Linked DNA regions of Pelodiscus sinensis. The protein of the gene in region 2 purifies or fractionates together with the protein of the main gene of each other region. This does not show direct contact. Links are inferred from orthologs where the notes say so. Each region holds a gene or a part of one and is shown on either strand. Other genes may lie near its edges.

The links.
Region 1: the proteins of WWTR1 (region 2) and YWHAE purify together in Homo sapiens (co-immunoprecipitation; 5 studies listed by BioGRID and IntAct, with this or other methods). This does not show direct contact. The link is inferred for Pelodiscus sinensis from reciprocal best matches to the Homo sapiens genes WWTR1 and YWHAE.
Region 3: the proteins of WWTR1 (region 2) and BTRC purify together in Homo sapiens (affinity purification with western blotting; 8 studies listed by BioGRID and IntAct, counting the BioPlex papers as one, with this or other methods). This does not show direct contact. The link is inferred for Pelodiscus sinensis from reciprocal best matches to the Homo sapiens genes WWTR1 and BTRC.

Annotation. Positions count from the first base shown.
Region 1 is NC_134731.1:1,403,480-1,414,212, reverse strand, and holds the start of YWHAE (14-3-3 protein epsilon), read left to right. Parts: upstream 1-5,774; 5' UTR 5,775-5,899; coding exon 5,900-5,963; intron 5,964-10,733. UniProt on the Homo sapiens protein: Adapter protein implicated in the regulation of a large spectrum of both general and specialized signaling pathways. Binds to a large number of partners, usually by recognition of a phosphoserine or phosphothreonine motif.
Region 2 is NC_134720.1:25,966,420-25,976,494, reverse strand, and holds the start of WWTR1 (WW domain-containing transcription regulator protein 1), read left to right. Parts: upstream 1-6,138; 5' UTR 6,139-7,317; coding exon 7,318-7,739; intron 7,740-10,075. UniProt on the Homo sapiens protein: Transcriptional coactivator which acts as a downstream regulatory target in the Hippo signaling pathway that plays a pivotal role in organ size control and tumor suppression by restricting proliferation and promoting apoptosis.
Region 3 is NC_134718.1:73,918,317-73,929,037, reverse strand, and holds the start of BTRC (F-box/WD repeat-containing protein 1A), read right to left. Parts: upstream 3,987-10,721; 5' UTR 3,857-3,986; coding exon 3,809-3,856; intron 1-3,808. UniProt on the Homo sapiens protein: Substrate recognition component of a SCF (SKP1-CUL1-F-box protein) E3 ubiquitin-protein ligase complex which mediates the ubiquitination and subsequent proteasomal degradation of target proteins. Recognizes and binds to phosphorylated target proteins.

The DNA.
Region 1 (10,733 bases), on a different chromosome or scaffold from region 2:
CTCTGTTGCCTGCATTCTCTCCTTACCCCTAGAGCTAATTCCGTTTGTGACAGGGTATAGTTGAAAAGTGTAAAGAATGTTCAGAGCATCTATCTCCCTTCAAACTCCCCGTCAAATCTCCCCATAGCTGCTCCTGTTTGCTGGCTTTACATTCAGTTCCCTGTTTCTGTTTATAAACTCCCTGCCCCAAAGGCAGTGCTGCTCCCAGCTCATCACCTATCACATGCAAACTGTGTTGCAGTTAAGAACTTGGTCTGGGGCTAGGGTACAAAATTTAGGGGGGCTAGAGCACACCTCTGCACCCTAAACAGCACCCGTATCTAGGGGACTGTGTTGCCCGGGCACCCGGGAATATGTTGGTGTTGCCTGGGTCCTTAACTCAATTAATTGTTGTTGTTTTTTAAATAAAACCAGAATGTCCGTGCTTCATTTGAATCATTGCTCTGGGGTGGGGCTGGGGAGGAGGGTGCAGGCTGCCCGGGGAGAGAGGACAGCCCCAGCCCTCTCTCACTGCAGCAGCTTGGCGTGAGGGGAGAAGCATATCCCCATGGCTGCTGCAGCTCGAGTGGACACAGCCACGGGAGGGGTGCGTGTCCCCTGGCTGGGGCAGGTCCAGGTTCATTTGCTCCTGTGCTCCCCAGCCAGAGCGAGGGATGCAGTAAACGGTCCGCTTTCCCCTCGCTCTGTGACAAAGATGCTCTTCCTCCATGGGTGGATGCCATCTCTGCTTAGCAACCCATGGGCTAAGTCTACACTGCAGGCTTCTTGCACAAGAACTGTTTTGTGCAAGAGTTCTTATGCAAAAGGCCTTGTGCAAGAGTGTGTCCACACTGCCATGTGCTTTGTGGAAGAGATGTGCTTTTGCGCAAGAGCATCCATGGCAGTGTGGACGCTCTCTTGCACAAGAAAGCTCTGATGGCCAATCTAGCCATAGGGGTTTCTTGCATGAGAAATCCATGTTGTCTGTCCACACAGGAGTGGCCTGAGGCAGGCTGCGGCAGCTGGCACCCCAGGCGGAAGGCGCAATGAGCCCCCGTCTGCATGGCCGTCTCATCAGGCACCCCGTGACATCATCATTGGGTGCCCCAGGCTGGCAGTACCCTAAGCGACCGCCTCGTCTGCCTAGGCTCACAGGCCACCCCTGTGTTCACACTGCCTTCTTGCGCAAGAGCTCTTGTGCAAAAAGGCTTATTCCTCATGGGGAGAGGAATAACTTGTGCAAGTCTTCTTTCCCGATGCTGTACTGTGAATTTACTTGTGCAAGAATGCGCATGCAGTGTAGACGCTCTGCCGTCTTGTGCAAAAAGCCTGCAGTGTAGATGTAGCCATGGTCTAGGAAGCCAAAGTCCTGCTGGCAGCACCATCTTCACAGCCAGGCATTCACCTCCTGTATGCATTTCTCTCTGGGACCCTACCCTTGACTGGAAGGTTCAAAGAGAACACCATCTATTCCAAATTCCTTCACCCGTACTCCAAGGCTACGTCTAGACTGGCATGATTTTCCAGAAATGCTTTTAACGGAAAAGTTTTCTGTTAAAAGCATTTTCGGAACAGAGCGTCTAGATTGGCATGGATGCTTTTCTGCAAAAGCACTTTTTGTGGAAAAGCGTCCGTGCCAATCTAGATGCGCTTTTCCGCAAAAAAGTCCCGATCGCCATTTTCACGATCGTGGCTTTTTTGCAAAAAACAAATCTGAGCTGTCTACACTGGCCCTTTTGCGCAAAAGTTTTGCACAAAAGGACTTTTGCCCGAATGGGAGCAGTATAATATTTCCGCAAGGAGCACCGACAATCTTACATGAGATCGTCAGTGCTTTTGCGGAAATTCAAGCAGCCAGTGTAGACAGCTGGCAAGTTTTTCCGGAAAAATGGCTGATTTTCCAGAAAAACTGGCCAGTCTAGACACAGCCCAAGAGCACTGTAGTTACTTCTGACCTGCTGAGGATCACACCTCAGAGTATCACTAGGGTCCACCTTGAACAGTTCCTTACAATTTGGGTTCAATACTTATGGAAAACATCCTGTGCCCCCTTGTATTTAGCTATGACATGATGCTGTCATTTCCCACAATCCCTCCGGAACAGAAGAGTTCTGCAAGTTGCAGAGCAATAACCATGGTGGGGCAAACTGGGCACAAAGTCATGGGGGGCAGAAAAATTATGAAAAAAACCCCAAAAACTGGAAGAAGGCACAAACTGTCTTGCTTTCCCCAGGTGCTGAAATGCCTGGTGATACCTCTGGGAAGCTTGAAAACTCATCTCTCTGGTTGGGGGCCAGGTCTACCTTAGTGAGCTTACAGCTACACAGCTATACCGGGACAGGGCACTCTTCCAGCCACACGGCACCTTCTCCAATGAGCCCCAGGAGCTGTGTCTGCTGAAGATCACCTCTGGATGACATAGCTCTGTCCACGCGAGGGCTGCTGTCTGGGGAACTGATGTCACTCTGACAAAAGTGCCCGTATAGACACAGCCACTAACAGAAGTGGGTCCAATAAAAGAGATGTTCTCGCCCTCCTTGTCTTGGTAATTGTCAGTGAGTAGCACAGCCATTCCCAGCGCATAGAGCTCAGTCCAGGGCTACCACAAAATGCTATGGGGCAATAAACTGGCAGTCAGGACAAAAGCCTGGGTGTGTGGGCATAAACCAACAGTCAGAGTTTAGTGTAGCTACAGTGTCATGTAAAACCACAGCCTGATGCCAATGGCCCCTACCCCCTCCAGGCTCTGTGTGCCGGGGACCCTACCCCCTCCAGTCTCTCTGGGCTGGGCCCCCCACCACCTCCAGTCCCTGGGCCGGGCCCCCCGCCCCCTCCAGTCTCTCTGGGCCGGGCCCCCCACCACCTCCAGTCTCTGGGCTGGGCCCCCCGCCCCCTCCAGTCCCTGGGCTGGGCCCCCCGCCCCCTCCAGTCTCTCTGGGCCGGGGCCCCCCGCCCCCTCCAGTCTCTGGGCCGGGGCCCCCCGCCCCCTCCAGTCTCTGGGCCGGGCCCCCCGCCCCCTCCAGTCTCTGAGCCGGGCCCCCCGCCCCCTCCAGTCTCTGAGCCGGGCCCCCCGCCCCCTCCAGTCTCTCTGGGCCGGGCCCCCCGCCCTCTCCAGTCTCTCTGGGCCGGGCCCCCCGCCCCCTCCAGTCTCTCTGGGCCGGGCCCCCCGCCCCCTCCAGTCTCTCTGGGCCGAGCCCCCCGCCCCCTCCAGTCTCTGGGCCGGGCCCCCCGCCCCCTCCAGTCTCTGGGCCGGGCCCCCGCCCCCTCCAGTCTCTGGGCCGGGCCCCCCGCCCCCTCCAGTCTCTCTGGGCCGGGCCCCCCGCCCTCTCCAGTCTCTCTGGGCCGGGCCCCCCGCCCTCTCCAGTCTCTCTGGGCCGAGCCCCCCGCCCCCTCCAGTCTCTGAGCCGGGCCCCCCGCCCCCTCCAGTCTCTCTGGGCCGAGCCCCCCGCCCCCTCCAGTCTCTGAGCCGGGCCCCCCGCCCTCTCCAGTCTCTCTGGGCCGAGCCCCCCGCCCCCTCCAGTCTCTGAGCCGGGCCCCCCGCCCTCTCCAGTCTCTCTGGGCCGAGCCCCCCGCCCCCTCCAGTCTCTGAGCCGGGCCCCCCGCCCTCTCCAGTCTCTCTGGGCCGAGCCCCCCGCCCCCTCCAGTCTCTGGGCCGGGCCCCCCGCCCCCTCCAGTCTCTGGGCCGGGCCCCCCGCCCCCTCCAGTCTCTGGGCCGGGCCCCCGCCCCCTCCAGTCTCTCTGGGCCGGGCCCCCCGCCCCTCCAGTCTCTGGGCCGGGCCCCCCGCCCCCTCCAGTCTCTGGGCCGGGCCCCCCGCCCCCTCCAGTCTCTGGGCCGGGCCCCCCGCCCCCTCCAGTCTCTCTGGGCCGGGCCCCCCGCCCCCTCCAGTCTCTCTGGGCCGGGCCCCCCGCCCCCTCCAGTCTCTCTGGGCCGGGCCCCCGCCCCCTCCAGTCTCTCTGGGCCGGGCCCCCCGCCCCTCCAGTCTCTCTGGGCCGGGCCCCCCGCCCCCTCCAGTCTCTGGGCCGGGCCCCCCGCCCCCTCCAGTCTCTCTGGGCCGGGCCCCCCGCCCCTCCAGTCTCTCTGGGCCGGGCCCCCCGCCCCCTCCAGTCTCTGGGCCGGGCCCCCCGCCCCCTCCAGTCTCTGGGCCGGGCCCCCGCCCCCTCCAGTCTCTGGGCCGGGCCCCCCGCCCCCTCCAGTCTCTGGGCCGGGCCCCCCGCCCCCTCCAGTCCCTGGGCCGGGCCCCCCGCCCCCTCCAGTCTCTGGGCAGGGCCCCCCGCCCCCTCCAGTCCCTGGGCCGGGCCCCCCGCCCCCTCCAGTCCCTGGGCCGGGCCCCCCGCCCCCTCCAGTCTCTGGGCCGGGCCCCCGCCCCCTCCAGTCCCTGGGCCGGGCCCCCCGCCCCCTCCAGTCTCTGAGCCGGGCCCCCCGCCCCCTCCAGTCCCTGGGCCGGGCCCCCCGCCCTCTCCAGTCTCTGGGCCGGGCCCCCGCCCCCTCCAGTCTCTGAGCCGGGCCCACCGCCCCTCCAGTCCCTGGGCCGGGCCCCCCGCCCCCTCCAGTCTCTGGGCCGGGCCCCCCGCCCCCTCCAGTCTCTGGGCCGGGCCCCCCGCCCCCTCCAGTCTCTGTGGGCCGGGCTCCCCGCCCCCTCCAGTCTCTGTGGGCCGGGCCCCCGCCCCCTCCAGTCTCTCTGGGCCGGGCTCCCCGCCCCCTCCAGTCTCTGTGGGCCGGGCCCCCCCGCCCCCTCCAGTCTCTGGGCCGGGCCCCCGCCCCCTCCAGTCTCTGGGCCGGGCCCCCCGCCCCCTCCAGTCTCTGGGCCGGGCCCCCGCCCCCTCCAGTCTCTGAGCCGGGCCCCCCGCCCCCTCCAGTCTCTGGGCCGGGCCCCCGCCCCCTCCAGTCTCTGAGCCGGGCCCCCCGCCCCCTCCAGTCTCTGGGCCGGGCCCCCGCCCCCTCCAGTCTCTGGGCCGGGCCCCCCGCCCCCTCCAGTCTCTCTGGGCCGGGCTCCCCGCCCCCTCCAGTCTCTCTGGGCCGGGCTCCCCGCCCCCTCCAGTCTCTGGGCCGGGCCCCCGCCCCCTCCAGTCTCTGGGCCGGGCCCCCCGCCCCCTCCAGTCTCTGGGCCGGGCCCCCGCCCCCTCCAGTCTCTGAGCCGGGCCCCCCGCCCCCTCCAGTCTCTGGGCCGGGCCCCCCGCCCCCTCCCGTCTCTGAGCCGGGCCCCCCGCCCCCTCCAGTCTCTGGGCCGGGCCCCCGCCCCCTCCAGTCTCTGGGCCGGGCCCCCGCCCCCTCCCGTCTCTGAGCCGGGCCCCCCGCCCCCTCCAGTCTCTGGGCCGGGCCCCCGCCCCCTCCAGTCTCTGGGCCGGGCCCCCCGCCCCCTCCAGTCTCTCTGGGCCGGGCTCCCCGCCCCCTCCAGTCTCTGGGCCGGGCCCCCCGCCCCCTCCAGTCTCTGGGCCGGGCCCCCGCCCCCTCCAGTCTCTGGGCCGGGCCCCCGCCCCCTCCAGTCTCTGGGCCGGGCCCCCCGCCCCCTCCAGTCTCTGGGCCAGGCCCCCGCCCCCTCCAGTCTCTGGGCCGGGCCCCCCGCCCCCTCCAGTCTCTGGGCCGGGCCCCCGCCCACATTACAGGGCCCCGAGGGGCCATCCGCCCCCATTTCCCAGGCGCCCCACGAGCCGCCCATCGCCCCCCAGCCAGGCGCGGCCGGGCAGCAGCCAGGGCCCCACCCCTGAGCCTCTCCTCGCGCCGGTTGCCAGGGAGCCGCTGTTGCCATGGCGGGGCGGCCGAGGCGCATGCGCGCGCTGGCGGAAGTGCCCGGATATAGCAGGAGGAGGCGCTCCCGCCGCCATCTTTGCCCGTAGCACAGAGAGCTGGTCGCGGCGGAGCATCCCGGACTCATCCGCCTCCATCCAGCCCGCGCCGCCCCCGCCGCCGCGTCTCTCGGACATGGACGATCGGGAGGACCTCGTGTACCAGGCCAAGCTGGCCGAGCAGGCTGAGCGCTACGATGGTGAGCGCCGGCCGGGCGGGCGCCGGGGAGGGCCGGGGGAGAAGGGAGGGAGCGGTCACAAAATGGCGGCGGCTGGGCAGGGGGGCAGAGGCGGCCGGGGGGGGTACGAACAAAATGGCGCCTGGGGTGGCCCCGCGGGGGCGAGGCAGCCGGCAGGGGGGCGCAGGGCCGAGGGGGCCTCGCCCGGGGGGGTCAAGGCGCGGCGGCGGCGGGGAGCCGGAGTAAAATGGTGGCTGGGAAGGGCGATCCCGGGGGTGGGGCAGGGGAGCCGCCCCCTCGCGGGCGCCCGACCCCCCCCCCCGCGCCCTTTCTCGTGCCCGCCAGCGCGGGCGGGGTGGCCCCTCCCCACGGAGCCCTGCCCAGCAGCGGGCCCAGAGGGAGGGTCCGGCCTGGGGGGGCCGGGTCACGTCGCCGCAGTCAATCTCCAGCCACCCCGCTGCGTGTGAAAGGGGGGCCTGGCCCCTAGGGGGGCCCTTCTGCGCCTCCTTCCCAGGCCTGGCCTCCTGGGCGCGCCTCCGTGTTCTGCCTGCCCTAGGCTGGCACTGTGGCTCTTTAGGGTACGGACCCTTCGGTCTCTTAGCTCTCCCGGCACAGGCCAGACTCAGGTACGTGCATCTTATTAGCCTTAGGCTTCAAATGATCGTGAATGGGAATATCAGGCTTTTTGAAGAGTCGGGGGGGTTTCTTTAAAGTTCATGGGCTGTGCTGATTTACATATTTGTAGGGAGTTCAATATCCCTGAGCATTGAGGTGGTTCTTTCTGAATGAACAGTAGGGTAATATATGCAATTGTCAGGGTCTGACACAATCTGCTTGTCATGCCACACCCTTGCTACTTATTTAAAACTAAATTAGATTCCTAACTGTTATGCTTGCCAATAAAACAAACTGAATGGGACTGTGGTGTAAACCTATGGGATACTGGCCTCCTGAGCTGTCATCAGTCCATTCCCCTGCATCAGTTGCTGGTCCTGTCTTTCCCAAGTGACAAGATAAAAAATGATCAGGATCTTTCTTACCATTACTGTTCAGAGCACCCCTGGAGGCAGTAAAACTGACAAGAATTAGGTCAGCTTTTCTCTGGAGTGGCTACCATTAGTAATGTGCCAACACTGAAGAAATATATATATTGGGGGGGGGGGGGCACAAAATGGAGCCCCTAAGAAGAAATACAAATAAATGCTGTCCTTTGGAATAGCCATGAGTCTGGGGAAGTGTTAGAGCAGTGGCTCTCAACTAGAGGCCCATGTACCCTTGTGGGAGAGGGGTGTACATAGGGGTCTTCCATGGGCGCCTCAACTGATCTAAATATTTGCCTAGTTTTTATGTAACCAGTTGTAAGGGTACTAGCAAAGTCTGTACAAACTAAAAGTCACACAGTGACTGGCTTGCTTTAGCTACTGTACACCAGAGAGGTAAGTGTAATGGTTATATTCCAGCTAACTCATAACATGTAAAAATGAGAACAGTTTTTGAGTAATGACATGCTAGGACACTGTATTCTTGTGCCTCATTATTTGTAAAGCAAGTCACTTTTAAGTGAGGTGAAACTTCAGGGTATGCAAGACACAGCAGATGCCTGAAAGGGATTCAGTAGTCTGGAATGGTTGAGAGCTACTGTGATACAGTAATTCAGAATTCACATATTTTTTCCCAGTACAGTCAGTCCCCGGGTTAACGTACAAGATAAGGACTGTAGGTTTGTTCTTAAGTTGAATTTGTATGTAAGTTGGAACTGGTACAAATTGTAGGGGAAACTCTAGCCAAACATTTCTCCAGAGCTCAGTTTTATTCTCCCACACCTCACTTCCCTCAGTCCTTTATTCTCAAGCTGAGGTGTCTGCTGAGAAAAGCCGCTCCGGGTCTCCCTGGTCTGCTGGGGGGGGGGGGGGGGCGCTAGCTTCGAGTCTCCCTGGTCTGCTGGGGGGAAAGAGCTAGTGCAGGGTTGCCTCACCCCGTTTGTAAGTAGGGATCCGATGTAAGTCGGATCCATGTAACCCGGGGACTGCCTGTAGCTGGAGAGGGGTTTAAAACATATTGGCTCTCTGCTAGACCATGGCTGTGCCATACGACTTACTTGTCAATGCTAGGTTTCCTGGTATATTAGCAAATTGTAGTTTAGATGCAGCTTATGTTGGCAAAAACACTTTTTCCTGGTATAACCACATCAACGTAAGGGTTTTTGATGGCATATCTGTGGTGACTGGCGATGCTGGGAAAACTTACAAGAAGACAAGGCCCAATTTTGAGCCCCCGTGCAGGGTCTAAACAGCATTGTGATAGGCATTCTAGCATGTTTCTGTGGGGGGAGGTGGCTGTTTTTTAGGAAGATGTATGCATCTGCATAGCATTCCCATGGTATTTCTTCTTAGTGCCTGGTAATTTTTCAAATTCTGTTATGACAAGGGAGGGAAACAGTTTTTGATGGTGGGGGCATTCCAAGGTTTTGGAAGTGGTCAAGGGTCGCACTTGTGTGTGGAAGAGGTGTGGGGCTTGGGACTGAGGTTGGGTGCAGAAGGGAGCTCGGGGTTACAGTATAGGTGAAGAGAGGGTGTGGGGTCTGAGAAGGAGTTTGGGTGAAGGAGGAGGTTGTGACATGGGGCAGGGCATTGGGGTGTGGGAGAGTGGGGTGTCGGATGTAGGCTCTGGCTGGGAGACACTTACCTAGGGATCTCCCAGCCAGCAGCAGCTTTGGGCAGGCTTCCTGCCTGATGGTCCTAGTGGGGTGGGCTGGCAGTCTTGCCTGCTTCTGTAGTCTAGGCATCTGTAGTGTGAAGCAGCCAGTTCTCATGATGATTAGGATATTAATTTGTTGGATTTGCCTCTTGGTGAGATTTTCCATATACGTTTTGTGTCTTTATCAATGTCCATTTAGGAAAAGGAAGCAGAAATTGGCTAGTTCAAGAGGTGAAATGTTATGCATTATGCAGTTGTATGGCTGATGAGATTTTCAGTTCATCAGATTTTTGTAGAGTCCAAAGCAGTTTGGTGGAATGACGCTGTAAAATAGAGCAACAGTTGAAAATCATAGTTAAAATGCATTTTTGTGTTTGTGCTTACCTTAGCTTTTCATTGTATATGTGGGGGTAACTGGTTTAACTAACTGCTTCAGCCTCCCCTGCTGGTCCTATGGAAATTAGCTCTTTCCACTGCTGGCACCTTGCTCTGGTGGTGCCTTGCTTGCCATTACTAGCTGTCTCTCCACCACGCCATGACCCATGTCCTGCCCAGACTGCGGTGCCCTTGGGTACTGAACTCTGGGGTTCCTGCTGCCCCCCAGTCCCACCACTTGCCTCAGTGACCCACTGCAGTCATTCGTTTAGCTCTTCCCTTCAGGGCAAGCTGCAGTCTGAATTGGCCACTCATCATTGATAAAGATGGTAAACCTGTTGCTCACTTCCCCCCCCCCCCCCTTCCTGCAGCCCTAGTATCCTTTTGGCTCCTGGGAGTGGGTCAGGCCAGAGCTCCCCTGACCTTCCCCAGCACTGCTGTGACTCTGGTCACTCTCTAAATATAGGTAGTGAGTTCCCTTGTCCAGAGTTGGAGACATACTGAGCTACTTCTGCCTTGCAGCCCATTTTATAGGGCCTAGCTGGGACCTGATTAGCTGCCTTAAGCCTTCTCTCAGTTGGCTCCTAGAGCAGCCATGTCCCAGGCCTGTTCTAAACTTGCCCCCTCAAGCTCACCTCCCTTGCTGTAGGGGGGTTTCCTGGCCTGTACCACATCTGGGAGGGTTGGTCTCCCAGGGCCCCTTTTCTTTGTAGCCTGGGCACCTCTTGCAGCCTGCTCTACCACAGCATTTGTTCCCATTTCTGCCATGTGCCTTTTGTCTGCCACCTGCAGGTGGCTCCCTGGCAAGTCCACTGCCATCACTGTGGCATTCGTCCTGCCTGCCAGACTTTGATCTAGTTGGGTCCTCAGGCACCTCTTTGTTTGGCTACCCTCCCTGACCCTCTTTGTGATCCTCCTCCTGGCACCAGAAACAGGCTTCTTGCCTTCTCTGGGCCTTAGGCCTTCCTTGCTCCTCTTCTGGTTCATTCCCAACTCCCGACCTGCTCCCTTGGTCAGAGTAATCCCTATGTAGGTACCCCTTCCCCTAGGTCCAGAATGTCCACCCTTTCCTGGTTTGCCCCACCGGGCAAACTCTCCTAGGGTCTTGCCCCCTTTCTCTGCTCCAGGTGAGGATTCCCGCCCCCATCCTCATACAGACGATCAACCCTTAAATATCCTCAATGACCAGAGGCGTAACAAGCCCTCTGCTCTAAGGGTGCTAAGGAGCAGGTATTTGGCTAATCGTATAGTCAGTACAGTGTGTGTCAATAAGGGGAGGCACTCTGCAGAGCTGCAGACTGATCAGGGACCACTGTGGCTCTTCCTGTGCTTCAAAGCAGAAGCACCAGGGGAAGCCTGGGGCGAGTTGGGGACTCAAGCAGTCCCCCACTGGCTCCTTGCTGCTTTGCTTTTGAAATGTACAAGATTGTGTCCCCAGCTTGCCCCAGGCTCCCCGCAGTGCTTCTGCCTTCGAAATGTAGCTAGATCTGGCAGGGCTCTTGCTACATTTCAAAGGTGGAGGCACCCTTATCAACTAATCAAACAGTCAATGTGAATTACATCAACTATTCAATTAGTAAAAACATTAGCTGTAGATTAATCGACTAATCAGCACGGGTAGAGCAGAAGATTTACTTCTCGGGTCTTGCTCACAACACTCCCGGTAACCACACACCGTTCTGGGATGAATTGTGTGTGGTGGTTTGTTTTGTTTCTTCA
Region 2 (10,075 bases):
TCGAACAGCGTTTCCTCAGCTCTCATCCCCTAGCACACTTCCTCTACGTTTACTACATTGACAACAGCATTATATGGACCCACGGGAAGGAGTCCCTTGAAGAATTCCCAGGAATTTCAACAACTTCCACCATCATCCTTAGCCTGGACCAGTCCACACAAAAGATCCACTTCCTTGACACTGCAGTACAATTAAATGATGGCCACATTACTACCACCCTGCACTGGAAACCTACTGACCGTTATTCTTACCGACATGCCTCTAGCTTCTATCCAGGGATACGTCTAGACTACATGCCTCTGGCGACAGAGGCATGTAGATTAGACTACCTGGCATAGGAAAATGAAGCGGCGATTATTTAAATCACCACTTCATTTTCCTATGCCGGGTAGTCTAATCTACATGCCTCTGTTGTCAGAGGCATGTAGTCTAGACGTACCCCAGGACACATTCCATTGTTTACAGCCAGGCCCTAAGATACTACTAGATTTACTCCAATCCCACAAACAGAGACCAACACTAATAAGATCTTTATCAAGCATTCTTAAAACTTAAATACCCACCTGGGAAGTGAAGAAATAGATTTATGGAGCCAGACGAGTACCCAGGAATCGGTTTCTTCAAGACAGACCCAACGTGGAAAATAATAGAACACCACTAGTCATCACGTACAGCCCCCAGCTCATTATTGACAAGCTACATACTATCCTGGAAAACGATCCCTCACTCTCACGGGCCTTGAGAGACAGGCCAATCCTCACCTACAGACAACCCCTTAACCTGAAGCAAAGTCTTTCCAGCGGCCAAACATTACACCTCAGACATGCTCTCCCAGGAATCCACCCCTGCAATAAAACCTGTTGCCAACTCTGTCTACATATCTGTATTAGCAACACTATCACAGGACTTAACCACATAAGCCACCGTACAACTGCATATTCTCTAATGTGATATATGCCATCAGGTGCCAGCAATGCCCCTCTGCAATGTATATTGGCCAAACTGGACAGTCTCTACTGCAAAGGATTAATGCACACAAATCAGGTATTTTAAATGGCACAAACGTAAACCTGTAGAGGAACATTTTAACCTGCATGGGCACTGATTAATGGACTTAAAAGTAGCTATTCTTCTACAAAGGAATTTCACAAGCCAACAAGAGAGAGTGTAGAATTGACCTTCATGTGCAAATTTGACACTGTCTCCCTTGTCCTGAACAAAGACTTGAACTGGTTAACATCTTATAAAACCAGCTTTCCTTACATTCAACACCCTATTGATGTCAAAAGCTAAGCATGGGACACTTCCAGCCCACTCATTTAGTCTCATTAGCACTGGGACTACAATTGCCAGGTAATTTTTCCCCCTGCCTCTCTCTTCTTATTCTGAGGGTCCCTCCTTTTTTTTTCTCTATTCAAGACCATCTCATCTGAAGAAGTGGGTTGTGCCCATGAAAGCTCATGATTTTATATATATAATATAAAAAATTGGTTAGTCTCTAAGGGTGCGTCTACACAGTACCCTAAACTTGAAAAAAGATATGCAATTTGCACAGCGCATATTGTGTATGTTACTTTGAATCTATTTTGAAATTTGGTGCATCTACATAGTGCCAAGTTTTGAAATAACGTGCTATTTCGGGCCATCTGTTATCCCTCGTGCAATGAGGTTTACCAAGATAGCAAAATGGCATGTCCGTTATTTCAAAATACCGGGCAGCTTGTGTAGATGTGGGGTAGCTATTTCAGGATACCAAAAGTATCCTGAAATGGCATTGCAATGTAGATGTACTCTAAGGGTGCATCTACACAGCAGGGCTTAACTCAAAATAAGCTATGCAAATTGAGCTATGTCAATTGCGTAGCTTATTTTGAAATTTGGAGCATCTACACAGCACTTATTTCAAAATAGAGCACTCTTCCAACAACTTCCCTTACTCCTTGTACAATGAAGGTTACAGGAGTCGGAGTAAGAAGTCCTTCAGCTTGACAGTATTTCAACATTATTTCAGAATAACTACCTGCAGTGTAGATGCAGACTAAATTATTTGAAAATAATGCTAGTTATTTTGAAATAATGTTACTATGTAGACGTACCCTAAGGTGCCACAGAACTACTCATTGTTTTTAAAGTTACAGACTAACACGGCAAACCCTCTGAGACTTTTATAGAATGTATGTATTTTGTGTATTTATAAATTAATGTGCAAAAAAGTGTTCACTTTGTTAATGACAGATGGCTAATCCATCATGGACACAGAAGTCAGGAAACATCTGCACAAGGCTAACATTACTCCATGAATCTTTGCATATATGGTTTACATAAAATTGGCAATCAGGATAGCTTCTAATTATACAAATTCAAAGCACAGGCATCAGTTAAACTAGTCCCCAAACATTTTTTTTATTTTAACAATATATATTTTGTTGGGTTGTTTGCTACACTTACTTGTTGAGATGTTTGGATTGCTATCATTTATATAATCTTTTCTCCAGAGTTTTCACAATCATTTTAACAATTTGGCCCTTTCTGAATATTCTGTCATTTTCATTGGTCCATCATGAAAATAGAACCATAGGAATTGCCATCTACTATCAGGTCAGCGTCTCAGATGGTACCCAGTATTAGCTATGTGAGAGAAACTTGGAAAAATCCACAATGGACACTTATGGAATAAACCACCCATAGGGAAGGTGTCTTCCTAACTTTAGAAATTAGTGGTTGGTTATGTCCTAAAGTGAGAGGCTGAAGCCTCTTCTAAACCACTCTCATACTCATCCTGACATTATAATGTATCTGTTTTTAAAATATGTGGGATTTTAGAGTGCATAAAAACCTGAAATGTTGCAAGTTTGCCATTCCCTTCCAGAAACCATATACAGGCAGTCCCCGGGTTACGTACAAGATAGGGACTGTAGGTTTGTTCTTAAGTTGAATCTGTATGTAAGTCGGAACTGGCGTCCAGATTCAGCCGCTGCTGAAACTGACCGCCAGTTCTGACTTACATACAGAATCAACTTAAGAACCCCAGGCGTCCCCAAGTCAGCTGCTGCTGAAACTGATCAGCAGCTGATTCCAGGAACCCCGGGGCAGAGCAACTCTGCCTCGGGCTTCCTGTAGTCAGCGCTGGTCAGTTTCAGCAGCGGCTGACTTGGGGACGCCTGGGGCAGAGCAGCTGGGGTGCTGCTGGGTTGCTCCAGTAGCGCCGCTCCTCGGTGCTACTGGACCAACCCAGCAGCACCCCATCTGCTCTGCCCCAGGCGTCCTGATTCAGCCGCTGCTGAAACTGACCAGCAGCGGCTGAATCAGGACCTGGGGCAGAGCAGCTGGGGTGCTGCCGGGTTGGTCCAGTAGTGCCCAGAGCGGTGCTGCAGGACCAATCGGCAGCGCCCCAGCTGCTCTGCCCCAGGGTCCAAAACAAAAGCCTGGTCTGCTGGGGGGGGGCACACTAGCTGCGCCCCCCCCCCCCAGCAGACCAGGGACACGGGGAGCAGAGCCGCAGCGGCAGCGGGGTGCCGCGCCTCTGAGGCTTTGCTCTGGCAAAGTCTCAGAGGCGCGGGACCCTGCTGTGGCTGCAGCTTCAGTCCCGGTGCCTGTGGTCTGCTGGGGACGGTCTCCAGCAGACCAGGGGCACCGGAGCAGCTTACGAACGGGGCTTTCTCGCCCCGGAGCTCGCAGGTAGCAATCCGCCACCTCGACCTCCGGGGCGAGAAAGCCCCGTTCGTAAGTGCGGATCCGACATAAGTCGGATCCGCGTAAGTCGGGGACTGCCTGTAACTGAATCACCTCATGATGTAGGAGGGTCTCAGCTTGCAGTATAACTTACCTATACTTTTTGAACCAAAGGTTCAAATCCCAACAAGACTGACTCAGATATTCATCGATTAAATGTTAATACAGAGTTATAGGGTCAGGTTTCTCAGAAGTGAATTTAAAAATTTAGATCCCGCCTGTGCTGTATGAACATTAAAGAGTCCATGATAATTTTTAATATTTATTTGTGTCCTTTGCCAAAATGTCATCTTTGCACAACTACCATGATATTTTGTGTACTGATTAGTTTATCATCATGGAATCTCAGCACTTGAGACGTACTGGATGTATACAATTTGTAAAGTTCTTTGGAAAGAAAGACGAAGTGTAAATCCATTGCAAAACATGTATGTTAGGGCCCAAATCTGTAAATCTTTAATTGCTTGAGTAAGGATTAGGAGGATCAACTTTATATGAATGACCTATTGATTTATAGGGGCTATGTCTACACTGCCAGCTTTTGCGGGCAGAGAGTATGCAAATGAAGCGCTGATTAGCATTCTGTAATGCTTCTTTTGCATAATCTATTTGAGCTGTTTTTGCGCAAAAACAAGCACTGTGGACATTTTCTTTTTACGCAAAACCCCCTTTTTGCACAAAACCCTTATGCCTCTCCCAGTGAGGGATAAAGATCTTGTGCAAAAAGGGGGTTTTGTGCAAAAAGGAAACGTTCACACTGCTTATTTTTGTGCAAAAACCTCTTGCGCAAAACCAGCTCAAATAGATTATGTAAATGAAGTGTGACAAAATGCTAATCAGCACTTCATTTGCTTACTCTCTGCCAGCAGAAGCCAGCAGTGTAGACAAAGCCAGGAAGTCTGAGGAAAATGCTTTGAAAGCAACTATGACTATTGGATATAAATTAAATAGAGCAAAATGTTTTTCATGGCAAACCTAACTAGTTTTTACTGTAGGATATGTGACTGCTAAATAGAGCTAAGGACAAATCTAGAAGACTATCAGAGTAATAGCTGAAATGTGACTACCTTTGCATGTATCAGACTGATGTGGGTCATGATAACATTTTACAGAAAGTTCAGACCTAACCTGTCATCAAAAAGCCAACCTCTTTATAAATGGTTTCACTGCCTTCTATTTTTATTTGCCTGGATTCCAATACTGGTGCCTGCCATCAGAGCACCTCAGCTCTAATTAAACTATACTAGGAAACTCACATTAAAAATGGCTTCATCTAAGAAATCTTTTGCTCTGAGTGTTGAATTACACCACTTTTTTAGCTATCTTTTTTTTAAGTAACAGTCTGTTCCCATTAGACCCAAAATGCTGCTAAAGGAAACAGTTCAGAAATGTTTTTAAAAAGCGGTTTCCTAGCATTACACAAACTTTTCAGTTGTGACCTTGAGTTAATGAAATCTAGAATGACAAAGGAAAGGAAGTTTCAGAATCTCTTTTAATATAAAGTATCTGTTGCATGACATAAATGCAGACACAAACTTTAACCTGTCACCTACAAACTGTGCTAGGTAGAATGGTTCAGGCCCCCTATTCATAATATGACATTCATACAGGGGGCTCAGGGTACATCCTAGTTTTTCCATCACATAAATAAAGTATGGGCTCATATTTGTCAATGTTTCTAAATAGGTCAACTAAATTACAACAGTCAGGGCAACCAGTTTTCTTCAGCTCCTGCAAAAGCATCCTTTAATCATCTTGAAGAATGGATGAGACCTTAACTGTGACCTCAGCTCATGTTCCAGCTGGGACCACCCTTAGAATAAGGAATTAATTATGTTGGATTAATTAACAATGCAGGGCCCCAAAATACAAGTGGGTTGTAGCCTTGATGGGGTGCATCTGAGGAAGGGATCTGCCCCAGAAATCTACAGAGGTTAAAGGAAAGAGGGGAAAGTTGGGGCCTGTTGTGAGAAGCCTTACCCACCAAGATGGAGAGCTGGTTCCACCTCATTCCTTTAGGGGAAATTAAGAGATTTCCTCTAAAGGGTTGGGTCTGTGTGTCCTGAGTAAACCAAGTCTCTCCTTGCAGGACTTTTGGGTCTCTCCACCCAAGTTGTGGGGATCCCATGGGAACAGCCCTTCCCCCTCTCAGAGGTTCCCGCAGGGCAGGGCTCTTCCCCTCCCAAGGATACAGGAATCCATAAGGAAACAAAGGCCTTCCCCCGCCCCTGCAAGGGTCGGGGTCCTCCCGCAGGTCAGGGCTCGCTCCACCCCGGCTGGGTGTGTCTTGCAGAACTGGGAAGCGGGGGTGGGAGGAGATCGAGTTTCCCCTTCAGGATACCAAATATGGTAACAATGGAAAAACGGCAGCTTTGTTATTGGGATATTTGGCCCGACGCGGCAATCGGGCTGGTGTAGCAGAGCGGGGGCGCCTGTGCTCTCCTGCGGCTCTCTTGAGAGATCAACCCACGGGTCTCCTTTTGCAGCTGACCTGGCGGCTTCTTTGCTCCGCCTAATAAGGCCCCTTATGCCTGCAAGTATTGCAATCTGAACCAGCCCAGCCGGGGACTCTGAGTGACCAGAGCCCCGCAGACCTCCCCCGTCTCAGCCCCAAGCGCCTCTTCCCGCATAGCTGAGACTCACAGCAGGGCGACCTGGGAAAGGCTGGCGCTCGGAAGGGAGAAGGGGGCGGAGCGCCTGGGCACCCTGCTCATGAATAATGCCGCTCCCCAACTTTTCGCCCCGCCTCTTTCTCAGGGTTGAGATTTTTTCGCAAAGTTTGTTTGGGACGGCCCGGGAGTGGAAGCAGGCGCAGCGGCAGGCGCAGGCAGCCTGGATTGCGAGGATGTGAGGGCAGAATCACCCGCGGCCTTCACGCTCCCCTTTGCAACGCGCTGCCAGCGCAGAAGAAGCAACGTCCTGACCTGCCCGCCTCTGCAGCTGGGGGAGGAGGCGCAGAGCGAGCGACAGAACGTTCCCCGGGTCCCCACGTTCGGACTCGGAGCGTCCCGGGCCCCTCGCTCCCTCCCCCTCCTCGCGTGCCTTGCTCCCCGCTGGAATCCGGACAGCCGCCAGCTCTCTCCCGCTGACAGCCGCCAGGACTCTCCCGTCGCCCTTTAAGGGAGCCCCCCCTCCTCCCAGGGAACTGCAGCAAGTAGCCAAAGTTTCAGGGAAAGTTGCGTAACTTTGCGTGGGGGCCGACGCGGATGCACTCGATCGTGCGAGATACTGATTTGTGCCCGAGGGGACCGGCTCGGACCCCCTGCTTGTTTTGTTGCGGAGTGTCCGGGCGTTTGGGGGAGGGGGTGAAGTGACGTTTTATGGGGGGGCTGGTTTGAAGTGACTTTCTCTGCGGCTGATCGCCCAGGCCCTTGTGGGAGACACTTGGGGGGGACTCCCTGCACCCCTCATTCTTTGACCGCCCATCCCCTGGGGAGAGCTGTGGGGGTGCTGCTTGGATCCCCTCCTTCGCTGTTGACTACCTGCCCCTGGTCGGGACACAGACGCGTTTTGAGGGGAGACCCGATCGCTGTTCATTCGTTGGCGAGTTGGTTGCATTGTTGAGCTAGTGCTGCGGGGCAGAAGATGAACCCTACACCGGTCCCTCCGCCTCCGCCGCCGGGGCAGCAAGTGATCCATGTCACCCAGGACCTGGACACGGAGCTCGAGGCGCTCTTCAACTCGGTCATGAACCCCAAGCCCAGCTCCTGGCGGAAGAAGATCCTGCCCGAGTCCTTCTTCAAGGAGCCCGATTCGGGCTCGCACTCCCGCCAGTCCAGCACTGACTCGGGTAGCCACCCGCCCCGGCTGAGCGCCGCGAATGCCCAGCATGTCCGCTCGCACTCCTCGCCAGCCTCCCTGCTAGGCGCCGGGGCCGGGGCCACCCCCAGCCCGGCTCAGCAGCACGCTCACCTCCGCCAGCAGTCCTACGACGTGACCGATGAGCTGCCGCTGCCGCCCGGCTGGGAGATGGCCCTCACCCACACGGGCCAGAGATACTTCCTCAAGTAAGTGGGGCCGAGGCCCGTGCCAGACCCCCGTCCACGCGTGTCCTGCAGACTCAGGCACAGTGAGGGGGGCTAAAGGCGGCGGAAAGGAGCGTTTGGTGGGGCTGTAAAGAGTCTTGCACCGCTTGTGTGTGTGGCTAGTTAAAGGGGCCAGGCACAGGCTGTGTGTGTGTGTGTGTGTGTGTGTGTGTGTGTGTGTGTGTGTGTAAAAGGCATCTTAGATCATCTGCGTGGGAATGGGTGTGAAAGGACCTAGATTTAGCTCTGTGTGTGTGTGGGGGGGGAAGGTGAATGTAAGAGGACTTGGGACAGGTGTGGGGGGCAGATAAGGGCTTTTACCGACTTCCTTATCTGGAACATTGATGGGAAGCAAAGGAAACTCTTGGCATTGAGATAGTGGGTGGGGATAAAGGAGTGAGGTCACTGGTTATAGAAAATGAATTTATAGTCATTGCTATGTTCCTCTGGGTTGACATAGAAGCTGATGTGTGGGAGGAATTTATGGAGGCTATAACGTGGTTGCCTTGGCTTGATGATGAAAGGGGTGGGTTAGTTGTCTGGTTGCCAAATTTCTCACATGTTAATGCTGAAGTGGAGAAAGTAAAAGCTATGAGATGGTTGCCAATGAGTCTTATGTAGGTTGTTGAAACTCAGAAGTTGGTGAGAGTACAATGGAGAAGTTTATAAAACTCTCACAAATCACATACATGTAGAGGCCACAGAAATCTCAGAGAGCCATTCTACAGATCACTCCATTTTAAGGCATTTCATTCAGGAGGACCTGAGCACGCAAGTTTACAAAGGCTGGAGTCTGCTTAAAGGCTGAGATAATTTGCCATTTGTATAGTTTCTGTACCCTGTAGTTTCTTCTTGTTTTATCTCCTTGATTTACAAATTATCTTCACTGTTAGTGCTGAAAAGGAGAAATGTATTTAGGCTATGTCTACAACTGCACTTGATTGACAAACTTTTGTCATTCACAGGTGCTTAACCCTGTCCTTCCTGTGAACAAGTTTTGTCCCAAAAAGTACAAATGTGAATGCTGCTTTATCACAGGCCTGAAGACAAAGCAAAAGCTGCTTGTTGGGAGGGTATAAGTACAAACAATATTCACATATGCTTACTTTTACACTAAAAGCTGCGTAGTGTAGACATACCCTTAGACTACTATAGTTAATTCACTCCCTTGTAATATAATTTGTTGTCATGATTAATGGTTTGTCATGATTTTTTCATGATAAATTTATGAAAGGACTTTTGGATGTAGACAAGTCTCAGATGGGTAGATGTGTTAGTCTGTAACTTTAAAAACAAGTGGTCCTGTGGCACCTTGGAGACTAACAAAAAATATATAATATCATGAGCTTTTGTGGGCAAAACCCACTTCTTCAGATGAGCTTGAGTGGAGAAAAAAATAGGGTTGGGGGCTCTCAGAATTTATAACAGAAAAAAAAGGAGAGAAGAAAAAATGTACCTGTCAATTGTAGTGCTGGGTAGCCGTACTAGCATCAGCACTACAATTGACAGGTACTTCCTCCCTCCTTCTTTTTCTGTTATAAATTCTGAGAGCCCCCACCCCTTTTTTTGTCTCCACTCAAGCTCATCTGAAGCAGTGGGTTTTTCCCACGAAAGCTCATGATACTATATATATTTGTGTTAGTCTCCAAGATGCCACAGTACTTTGCATTGTTTTGGATGTAAACAGTATGGGAAGAGAAAATAAGGGCAAGAGAAAATATAGGTATGATTATTTCATGGTCTTAAGTGAATATATGCAGTGTGGCCGGCATTAAAATGTGACCTAAATGGTCCCAAAGGTTAAATGTTGCAGTACAGGCAGTCCCCGGGTTACATGGATCCGACTTACATCGGATCCCTACTTACAAACGGGGTGAGGCAAACCCACACTAGCTGCTTCCCCCCAGCAGACCAGGGAGACACGAAGCTAGCACCCCCCCCCCCCTCAGCAGACCAGGGAGACGCGGAGCAGCTTTTCTCAGCAGACACCTCAGCTTGAGAATAAAGGACTGAGAGAAGTGAGGTGTGGGAGAATAAAACTGAGCTCTGGAGAAATGTTTGGCTAGAGTTTCCCCTACAATATGTACCAGTTCCGACTTACATACAAATTCAACTTAAGAACAAACCTACAGTCCCTATCTTGTACGTAACCCGGGGACTGCCTGTATATTCACACTGATTTATTTCAGTAAGACATTCAATTATCTCTTCACATTGTTTCCACATTAATTAGTATTAATGCACATGAATTCAAATTAACCATGTTAAATAATTTAGATAGAAATTCAGGAAAATGGCGGCCTTCAGGTTTAGCTGCT
Region 3 (10,721 bases), on a different chromosome or scaffold from region 2:
TGCCAGGATCACCTCTGAAGCTTTTTTAAAAAACTTGCATCACATTAGAGATCCTCCAGGCCACTGGTACAGAAGCTGATTTAAGAGATAGCTTACATATACCCGTTAGCACTTTTGGCAGTTCTAGAAATAAAAGTCTCTTCCCTTCCAGTCTATAAAAGAAAATGCTTAGTTTATCTTTTTTCTTGTCTGATTTTTTTTCTTGTGGGTCTTGCAAGTCTGAGAGAGAAGAACACTTTTCTTTTATGGCAGCGTTTCTCAAAGTGGTCCACAGAGCTACTCTGAGAAAGCTGCTAACAGGCCGCTCTGGTTTGTTTATTTACCAGCTCTGCAGCCACAGAGCCTCGCAGCTCCAACTGGCTGTGGTTTACCATTTGCAGCCAAGGGGAGCCATGGGAAGCAGCAGCCTGGCTCTCACCACTTCCTGCAGCTCCCCTTCGCTGCAAATGGTGAACTGGAGCCAACGGGAGCAGTGAGGCTCGTGGCTGTGGAGCTGGTAAACAAACAAACCGGAGTAGATCCACGGACCATTTTGAGAAACACTGTCTTAGGGAAAAGCAGTCCATTAGTCATTTATTTCTCAATGCAGTGAAGCCCTTGGTCATTCTTAACATCAAGAATGAGTTAAACAGTCTATGGCCTGTTCCTGGGAAAGTTCTCTCCCCCACACGGACATGCCTCTCCCAATGGACTGAAGGTTTCATTGTTCCAATGAAACACAACCAGGCTGTGGTCATGAAGGGACAGGTAGCTAGGGCCAGTACCATGGAGGGATTGAAATATCTTGAATTGACCCTCTTTATTCAATAGGAAGCCAATGCAGAATCAGGAGCACCAACATAGCGGTCTATGCTACTAAGTAGACAGTTGGAATTTTTTTCAGGGCACAAGTCTCCATAACGCCTACTTACAATGAGTCGTAATTATCAACTCTAGAGGTCACAAATGAGTGGATTACCATGACTTGATATATAACAAACAAGCCATGGCACATTCCTCTAGTCAATTACATATGGCGAGGGCTTTTTTTTTTTTTTTTTTTTTTAAACTCCCAAGGATATTTTGACACCCCCTATCTTTTTCACCTCTTCCATAAACTTGACAAAAATACAGGAACTGGCAAAAGAATTCAATGACCTGGACTACAGATGTATGTGACTAGTCGACTACCCAATAAATGCTTCTCAAGCAGTGGAGTAGGAATTTGACTAGTTGCTTCTCCCCCTCCATTGCTGCCTCTATCAGAGAGGGGCAGTAAGGAGGGGGGGAGCAAGAGCCAGCACTGGGGGAGCCAGGTTAAAAGCCATTTCCCACCCCTGCACCCTCTCCACAGGGGGCAGCGGGGAAACAGTGCAAGTGACGATTTAAACTGTCCCATTAGCGCTGGTCCTTTCCCTTTGGACTGTACAAGAGCTGCCTGTGACTCTTGTATATTTCAAAGGAAGAGGCACAGAGGGGAACCCACACCAGCTGGGATTTCTTTGCTCTCTGCTACCTCTCTCTCTTTGAAATGTACAAGAGTCATGGGCGGCTCTTGGACATTTCAAAGGGAGAGGCGCAGTAGGATAGCAAGTGCCCCCCTTATCGACTAATCGAGTAGTCGATGGAAATTCCATTGTCTCCTCAATTATCTGATTAACTTGAAATGTAACATTCCTAATCTGGACATAAGAGATTTAAAAATATGTACCAATTATACAAGATTAAAAAAAAAGAAGCTAATCAACAATTTAGAATTTCTACCGACTTTTGAAATGCAAAGGAAAGCCAAGATTTGTATCTGGTGTTTCAATATTTCCATACTGGGCATACATTCTAAAAGCTTAGCTGTATTTTATGTTCTTTATGAGCACAGATTTAATTCTGTGCCAGTGAAAGCATTAATTCACAACAAATAAACTTCCAACAAATGTTGCCAGTCACTTGAAATGTATTCTTAGAAGCAAAACAGTTTAGAGCGTCTAAAATTAGTATTAAACTAAAGCTGGCATCACTCTCTGCTTTAGTTTCTTGATGCTATTTTTCCAATCAAACAACTTAGAAATATAAACAATGATAAAGGAGGAATATAATTGTCGTCTCACTCGGTGTATTACCCCAAATCTAAAAAAGCCAGTCACATTTGAAAACTCGTCTGGCTACTGATAGCCAAAGCTATTTTCTGTGCCACAGGCCAATTTATAACCCAAGACAATGTAAAGGCTCTTTGCATCCTCTCTATTAACAAGGATGTAATAGAGCAGGCAGATGTAACAGGGTAAAATGTCACTATGTATATTTCCATACCCAGGCTAAAAAGGGGCTTAAGAAAAAAAGACTACGGAGAGCAGATGTGCACCCCAAATACTCTACGCAGAACCAAAACCTCACCTCGCACCAATACTTCGTTGATCATCTCTTACCACCACTCAGGCCAGAAATCTTGTTTAGAATCTCTACAGTTCTCTGATGGTCCTAAACATACCTTCAGATCCCCAACTGCCACATCTGCAGGTCCCTCCCTGATCCCCAGCACAAGGTTTCTCGTCCACATGCTCTTGCGCCCAAATCCAAGCATTTAAGCCCACCTCCTAAAAAACTCTATGCTCATCAACTAGCATCCGCCAGTGCAGCCAAAAGATACCCCAAGCCCTGCCCACACTGTACAAAGATCTCACTGTGACTTTACAAAGGCTCAGGTGCCTTCCCCCACCCCCATCCCAGCACTCACCCTTGCTCCAAGGTCCCTGCCTCTCACACTCCAGAACTTGCCTTCTTCCTGACTCTGCACCCTGGCTGATTTCCCCACCTAATGCTATCCTAAGTGCCCCCTGCTCTCGCACTCCCCAACCCGTTTCTCTCCTATCAGAGTCCTTTGAGAGTCTCAATACCCTGCGACACCCATCCCCATGACCAACTTCCCCAGGCCCTCCCGCACCATCGCTCTGGCACTCGCATCGCTCAGAACCCCCCATGCCTTGTTCTCCAGCCCTGAATCTCCCACCCGCTGGTAACCCCCCACCCTAGCACTCACCTATCCCGCAGATGCCTGCTCCCCCAAGCACCCCCTCCCCCTGCCAGCAGCCCCCCCATCTGTGACTCGACAGGTACCGCTCCCCCAGCTCTCCCCATAGGGCCGTGCTCCCCCACCACTTGACCCTCTCTCGGCATTCCCATAGAGCAGCACCCTCTCCCCCCCGGCGTCCTGCTCCCCCATCTCTCCCCCCCCCCGGCACTCCCGTAGAGCAGCGCCCTCCCCCCCCCCCTGGTGTCCTGCTCCCCATCTCCCCCCCCCGGCACTCCCGTAGAGCAGCGCCCTCCCCCCCCCCGGTGTCCTGCTCCCCCATCTCCCCCCCCCCGGCACTCCCGTAGAGCAGCGCCCTTCCCCCCCCGGTGTCCTGCTCCCCCATCTCTCCCCCCCCCCGGCACTCCCGTAGAGCAGCGCCCTCCCCCCCCCCGGTGTCCTGCTCCCCATCTCCCCCCCCCCCCGGCACTCCCGTAGAGCAGCGCCCTCCCCCCCCCGGCGTCCTGCTCCCCCATCTCTCCCCCCCCGGCACTCCCGTAGAGCAGCGCCCTCCCCCCCCCGGCGTCCTGCTCCCCCATCTCTCCCCCCCCGGCACTCCCGTAGAGCAGCGCCCTCCCCCCCCCGGCGTCCTGCTCCCCCATCTCCCCCCCCCCCGGCACTCCCGTAGAGCAGCGCCCTCCCCCCCCCGGTGTCCTGCTCCCCCATCTCCCCCCCCCCCGGCACTCCCGTAGAGCAGCCCCCCCCCGCACAGCGCGCCCCTCCCCCTCGCCGCCCCCCCGCGCTCCGGCCCCGCAGGCGGCTCACCATGAACTTCAGGGCCTTGTCCTGCAGCACGGCCTCGGCCGGCTCCATAGTCCCGCCCCGCCGGGGCCAGGGCCGGGGCCGCCCAGTCCCTCAGTGGCAGGCCGCAGCCAGCGCAGGCAGGAACCGCCGCTTCCCCCCGGCAGGGCGCGCGCGCCGCCCGCAGGCCCACGGGAAATGTAGTCCCCGGCCGCGGCCCCGGCAAGCGCCCGGGCGGCCCGGAAGCACTACACCTCCCGGCATGCCGCGCGGCCGCGGGCCCTGTCGGCCGCAGAGCAGCTGTGCGCATGGCAGGCTGCTGGCGGGGGGCGCGCGGGGGCCGATGGGAGTTGTAGTCTGCGCGGGGCGGTAGGCGGGGAAGGAGCAGGAGCACTGCCAGGACTCCCATGCGCCCAGCTGATCGGCCACTGGCCGGCCGGCTCCTGGAGTCGCGTGATTAGAATCGCAGCCCCTCCGCAGGGCATCAAGTCAGGTGCACGCGGGGCAGCCTGGCCCCAGCCAGGGCAGGGGGGGGGGCAGTAGTTTTTGATGGGAGGGGGCACTCCAAGAATTTGGAAAGTCGGTCGAGGGCTGCATCTTCCATGCTCTGACCGGAGGGGTGCAGGGCGTGGGATGGAGGGCGGGCGCAGGAGGGGGCTATGACCTGGGACAGGAGAGGTGCAAGAGGTGGTGCAGGAGAGGATTCTGACCAGGAGGAAGGATGGAGGCAGCGGTGCAGGATCTGGGAGGCGGTTGTGATCTAGAGCGGGAGTGCAAGGATTTGGGTTGTAACTGGGGGTGGGGATGAGGGTGCAAGGTCTGGAAGGGGATTGTGACCTGGAGGAGGGGTGCAGGAGGGGATATGGGTGCAGGATCAGTGGTGCAGAGGATTTGGGTTATGTGGGACAGGAGTGCAGGAAGGACGGGGGGTAGAGGACTGGGGGAAAGAAGAGGCTGGGTGCCAGAGGCAGGCTTCGGCTGGGAGACACTTACCTGAACAATTCCTGGCCAACAGCCCTGCCCAGCAGGTTTCTCAGCCAGGCTCCCTGCCTTCCATGCCCCCACAAGCTGCTCAAAGCAGAAGCTGCTCTAAACATTGTGAGCCCGGGAGAGGGGTACTTTGCGTGCTGCCGGTCCTGAGAACAGGCAGCTCCCATTGGCCAGAAACCAGCCTATGGGAGCTGTGAGATTGTGCTGGGGCAGGGGCAGGATGAGAAGCCTCTCCCCAGGTTCACAGCAGTCACATAAGCATAGAGCTAGCTTACTTCTTTGAGCAGCGTGCAGGAGTGGGGCAGGTAGGGATCCAGTGGCCGCTCATGAGCTGTATTTTAACTGCCCCTGATCTAGAGCACAGGGCAACCCTTGCCTTTTTTTTTTTTAAGGACGTTTCTCTGATGGGTGCAGAGGAAGCTTACGAGTGGGACAGCTGTAGCTTGGCAGCTCTTGCACCAGCCCAACGTTTGTTGTGTGATTTCACCAGGTCCAACCCCCAACGTTTTGATGCTCCCGAGTTAGCAATTCCCCCTTGTCCTCGCTGCCTGCACTGCGCTAACACCTAGAACTGCCAGTGGGGGTGGTGCCTGTTACGCTAGGCGCTGTACAGACACGGAACAAAGAGCTGGTCCCTGCCCCAAACAGCTTGCAATCTACAGCCAGCAGGTAGTTCCGCCAGACCAGCGAGGAGTGGAAGGAAGTGCCGAAAGGTTGGAGTGCTGGACGGCCGTCTCGCGACACCGTAGGTGCGAGAGGTGGTAAAGGAGACAACCGCTTGTTTGAAAATGTTACCTGGTGGGTGACAAAGGCTCCAGGCATTGGCAAAGCAGAGGCAGGAGGAGTGGGGGGGGGGGGGTGGTTACAGATGGGGTGGACATAGACCACAAAGGGCCTTGCAAAGGAAAGCAAGTAACTCCTGCTGCGGGGAGGAAGTGTCTGCAAGTGACCCCGTGTGGCACTGGTGGAGACACAGCGACCCTGTTCCATGGCTGGACGGGTAGAGTTCATGGGAGCACCATTTGCTTTAGGGTGGGGAGGGATGCATGCTCCATCCTTTGTAGCTCCTTCCTGGCCTTGCTGCAGGGTCTTCCCTGGGCCTGGGGAGGCTACTGGAGCAGGCCTAGGTTCCTAAAGTGCCACATTATCAGCTCCATCCCTATTTCCCACTGGCTGGGCAGGAAGCTGCATCCTGCCATGGCAGCCCCAGAGCAGACCACAGAGGGAGCTAGGTCCTGATCTCTGCCCCAGGATAGGACCAGGCTGTCTCCTCCCTGCATCCCCTCAGAGATGGGACCAGACCACTAACCCATCACAGCCAGTTCCATGCCCGACTTTTTCCAAAAAAGATGCCCCTGCATGAGAGGGATGGTTAAGGCCCTACAGGTGTGTTGTGGTGCCAAACCACAGAGGATTTCATGGCAGCACAGGGCACCCCACAGCCATTGAGAACGTCACTGCATCAGCCTGGCTAGAACCAGATCCTTATCATCTCAGCTAAATGGGAATCTCCCCCGGTTGCTGAACGGTATAGGACCTATGACACACATGGGAGCAGCTGTCAACATAGCGAATGCAGGCACATCGCTATGATGGGAAGTGACGCACATACTGCTGCACCACGGTCATGCGCTGATGAAACCCTTGTGAGAATTTCACACACTTGTGTTTGCACCAGTACAAGCCACGTGGCTCGTGTCTACACAGGGCCACGCTGCAGCCGTGTAAGTGTGGCGAGGTGTAAGGAGATCTGGAGTCCTGATGCAGGCTCACTGACTGGAGGGGGATTATCATGGCAGATTGTGGGAGACAGGCTGACTTGTGAGGGAATTTGGGGAGCAGACATCACCCACTCCTCATCCCATATCATAAGTGTTTATGAGATGGTTCGATTGCAGAGTGGGGATGGAGTTGCTTGTGTGTTAAAGCTATATTGGCAAAAAAGATCTCTTGGCACTGGAAAAGGTTCAGCAAAGGGCGATAAAAATGATGAGGGGTTTGGAACAGGTCCCATATGAAGAGAGATTAAAAAGACTGGGACTTTTCATCTTAGAGAAGAAGAGACTTAGGGGGGATATGCTAGAGGTCTATAGAATCGTGAGTGGTGTGGAAAAAGTGAAAGGAAAAATTATTTACTTATTCCCACAATGTAAGAACTAGGGGTCACCCAATGAAATGAATGGGCAGCAGGTTTAAAACAAACCAAAGGACGTTTTTCTTCACTCAGCGCACACTCAACCTGTGGAACTCCTCGCCAGAGGATGTGGTGAAGACCAGGACTTTAACCAGGTTCAAAAAAGAGCTATATAGATTCATGGAAGTTAGGTCATCAAGGCTGTTAGCCAGGCTGGGTAGGAATGGTGTCCCTAAGCTTCTGTTTCTTCGGAGGTGGGGGACGGGGAGGGATCAGGTAAGGATTACTGTTGTGTTCCCTCCCTCTGGGGTATCTGGTATTGGCCGCTGTTGACAGACAGGACACTGGGCTAGATGGACCGTTGGTCTGACCCAGTCTGGCCATTCTTATGAACATTGCCCCCAAAGAGCTTTACTCAGGGAGAGAGAAAAAAGCAGAGGCAATTGTTAACGTCTTGTGTGCTTCATTTGCAATGGGCTTGCCGCATTAGAGCCCAGCACTGCTAGGCATGGTAGCTCAGAACCCCCAGCCAGCAGCTACAGCTCTCCAGCTACCCACCTTAGAAGGCAGCACCATCACTGGCACCAATGCAGAAGGGTAGCAATACGCTGCCCCATGCCATCTGTTCTATGCTGCTACTGGCGACGGCGCTGCCTTCACAGCTTGGGAATTCAGCTGCCATTTACAGCGTTGTATCTATGGGAAAATGCATTCCAAGTTCCAAACAAATGGCTTACAGACGAACTTTTGGAACACACCCCGTTCGTAAATTGGGAACTCCCGGTATATAAATCGCTGGCTGGCTCACACCTGGAATATTGCGTGCAGTTCCAGTTGCCCTCTCTGAAAAACGATATATTCATATGGGGAAATGTACAGAGAAGGGGGAGAAAAAAAGATCAGGGAATGGAACAGCTTCCATAGCAGGAGAGATTAAAAAGACTCAAGACTTTTCCGCTTTAGAAAGAAAACAGTGAAGGCAAAGTTATGAGAGAGGTCTATAAAATCAGGAATGGTGCGGAGAAAGTGAATAGGGAAGTGTTATTGACTTCACAGAACACAAGAACCTGGGGTCGCCCAATGAATTAATAGGCAGCACTTTCAAACCAAAAAAAAAAAAAAAAAAAGGAAGTATTTCTTCACACAATATGCAGTCAACTTGTGGAACTCCTTGCTGGGGGATATTGTGAAGGCCAAAAGTATAAGTGGGTTCAAAAGACGACTAGATAAATGCATGGAGGATGGGTCCATCGATGGCTACTAGCCAAGACCATCAGGGAGTCAACCCCATGCTCTGGATGTCTTAAGCCCTTAACTGCCAGAAGCTGGGAAAGGGGATGGTAATTGCCCTGTTCTGTTCATTCCCTCTGAGGCCCCACCCTGCCCCTTCTGATTAAGGCCCCACCCCTTCTGGGAGCACGAAACCTCCCCACACACACACTTTGCCCAGGGCCCAAGCAAATTCTGTCGACCCCGCAACAGCATGATAGACCGTGGTCTCGGTACCTGATTTAAGCACCCTGAGTTATGCAGAGGAAATGGATTCACCCCTCCTTTCCCATCCTGTCTCCTGACCCAATAAGATCACACCCTGCAAATCTGAAACAAATGCCTTTTTACAGCGCGATTTGGATCAAAGGTCCTGCGGGCTTTTCCCACCCCAGCAGGGGTGTCCCGGCCAAACCTCTCCGGACAGCGGTTATCGAGGGGATCCCATTTTCTGTCCGGAGTGGCTGAGCTCTGCACGGGTGGCTGCATTTTGTGCCGAGCCTCGTGCCAGGTGCCGAGTTTGGGTAGATGAAAGATGCGGCCTCCCCATACAGTTACCACAGGGATCATTTCTGTGCCGTCTTATTGCTTCGTGCCTGGCAGCCCACGTCCGCGGTACGGCTCCGGATTAATGCGGCGGCAATCATTAACTGGATAAAGAACAGCTGGTGCTTTGCTTGAAGTGAAGATGTTGGGGTCAGTAAATACAGGGCTGGTGAAACCATCTACCGCCGGTCTTTCGCTGCCTCTCGCTGCATTCCAGAGGGGCTTCCTGTCTTGTCCCTGCGCCCCTCCGAGGAAACGGCAGGAGCCAGCCCATGAAAACGGGAGCTTTCATCAGAGCCGTTCCTTTGGGCATTCGTGCCGGAATTTTCATATTTTGAATAATAAAGGAGGGTTTGAAATTAAATTTGTGGGCTTGCCATCTGTGTGCGCTTGGACTTATTTTCCTCGTCTTTGGCAGGCTCCGGCCTTCATGCTTCCCCTGCCGAAATGAAAAGAAAGAAAGGGAACGGAGGGGGAAGGGGGAAATCGGCAGGAGACGGCCTCCTCGTTCCCTTTGGCGTGTGACTGTCTGTGGGCAAGGACTGATTGCTGCACGCAGGACACCCCCGAGCCCAAAGTGTGAGCGAGAGGCATGAATAGAGCACATGGAGGAGTGGGGAGCCCAGGACTAGGTTTGGACAACCGGGCCTGGGGAGCCCCCAAGGAGGAGCAGAGAGGTAGAGCTAGGAGGGACCTCGGGCCCAGGAAGGGCAGTGCGAGCGACTCCTCCCCACTCTTCCAGCTCAGAGTCTGAAGGCTCCTTCTGCGGCGACAGCTGGGCACTTTGCTCTGTCCCTGCTGCCCGGAGTGCCTGGCATCCCTGCTGGCTGGGTCCTAGCCCTGCAGTAGCACCCCCCTGTGCCTCCAGCTGCCGGGGCCTTGCCAGGAATAAAGAGCTTTTAGCAGAAGCGTCCTGACAGTGCAGGGTTCCCAGAACTGGGCCGCCGGCAGCCCGCGCGCACCCTCTTGGCTCCTGGGGCCTGGGCCACGTCCGGCCTCCTCTGCCCAGCTCTGGGCCTAGCACAGTTCTCGGTGCTTGGCGGCTCTGGGCCTGGCGGGAGAGCTGGGAATCGCGTGGGGGAATTCACCTCCGCCGGGCGTTTCCTGCCAAGTCAGGTGAGCCAGCCTCCTCCCCTCCTCGGAGCGTCCGGCCGGCTTCCATCGGCAGCAGGGGTTCCACTGGCCCGAGTAGGAGCTGGTGTTCTCTGGGCAAACTCCTCCTCTCCCTGCCCACTGGGCTGGGCTCAGAGCGGCACGGTGGAAAATGTCCTGAACACCACACATGTCTGCAGGAGACGGATGGTGGGTAAACTGAAAGGGGGTGGGGGAGCCAGGAGGTGCTTTAGTGGTAACGGGAGAAGTCCTGATTCCCCAGGGGTCTTGCCCAGCTGTGGTACCCCTGTCCCAGAGGTGCCTTGGGACTGCGGGCTTGGCCCAGTGATCTGAGCTGGAAGAGACATCCGTTTCCTCCAAAAGGTTGGCGGTGCTTCCATTAGGGCTGGGCAGCTCCCAAGGGGAGCCCTGCAGATGTGCAGATAGCCACCGTCCATCTGCGCGTACCCACATCCGCAGGGCTGGGGGCGGACCCTCACGACTTACGTTTGCCGATCTGGAGGCGGAGTCAGCTGTTGCGTCTGGATCCCTGCCAATGTGCAGCCATCCACTGCCTAGCTGCAGGCATCCGCGGACGTTGCTCATTTTGGCGGGTACGGCTGCAGATACCCGCTTGATATCTGTGCAGGGCGCTGCTCCCAAGAACAGGCTTCACCCTAGAATGGGATTGTCTGGGCGGCTGGCAGCGCCTGGGAGCTCCCAGCAGAGGCTTGAACCGGAAGCCAGCATGCAGGGCCAAGCGCTGCGGCCGCTGTGGCTTTGGATCGGACGCTGCAGGGACAGACTCAAAGGGTTGCTTCTGGGTTTTCTACTTTGCAGTCAGCTCGCCCTCTTGCCACCTGAGATCTTGTGGCGAGCCCCCCAGGCACTTCCTTTCACACCCAA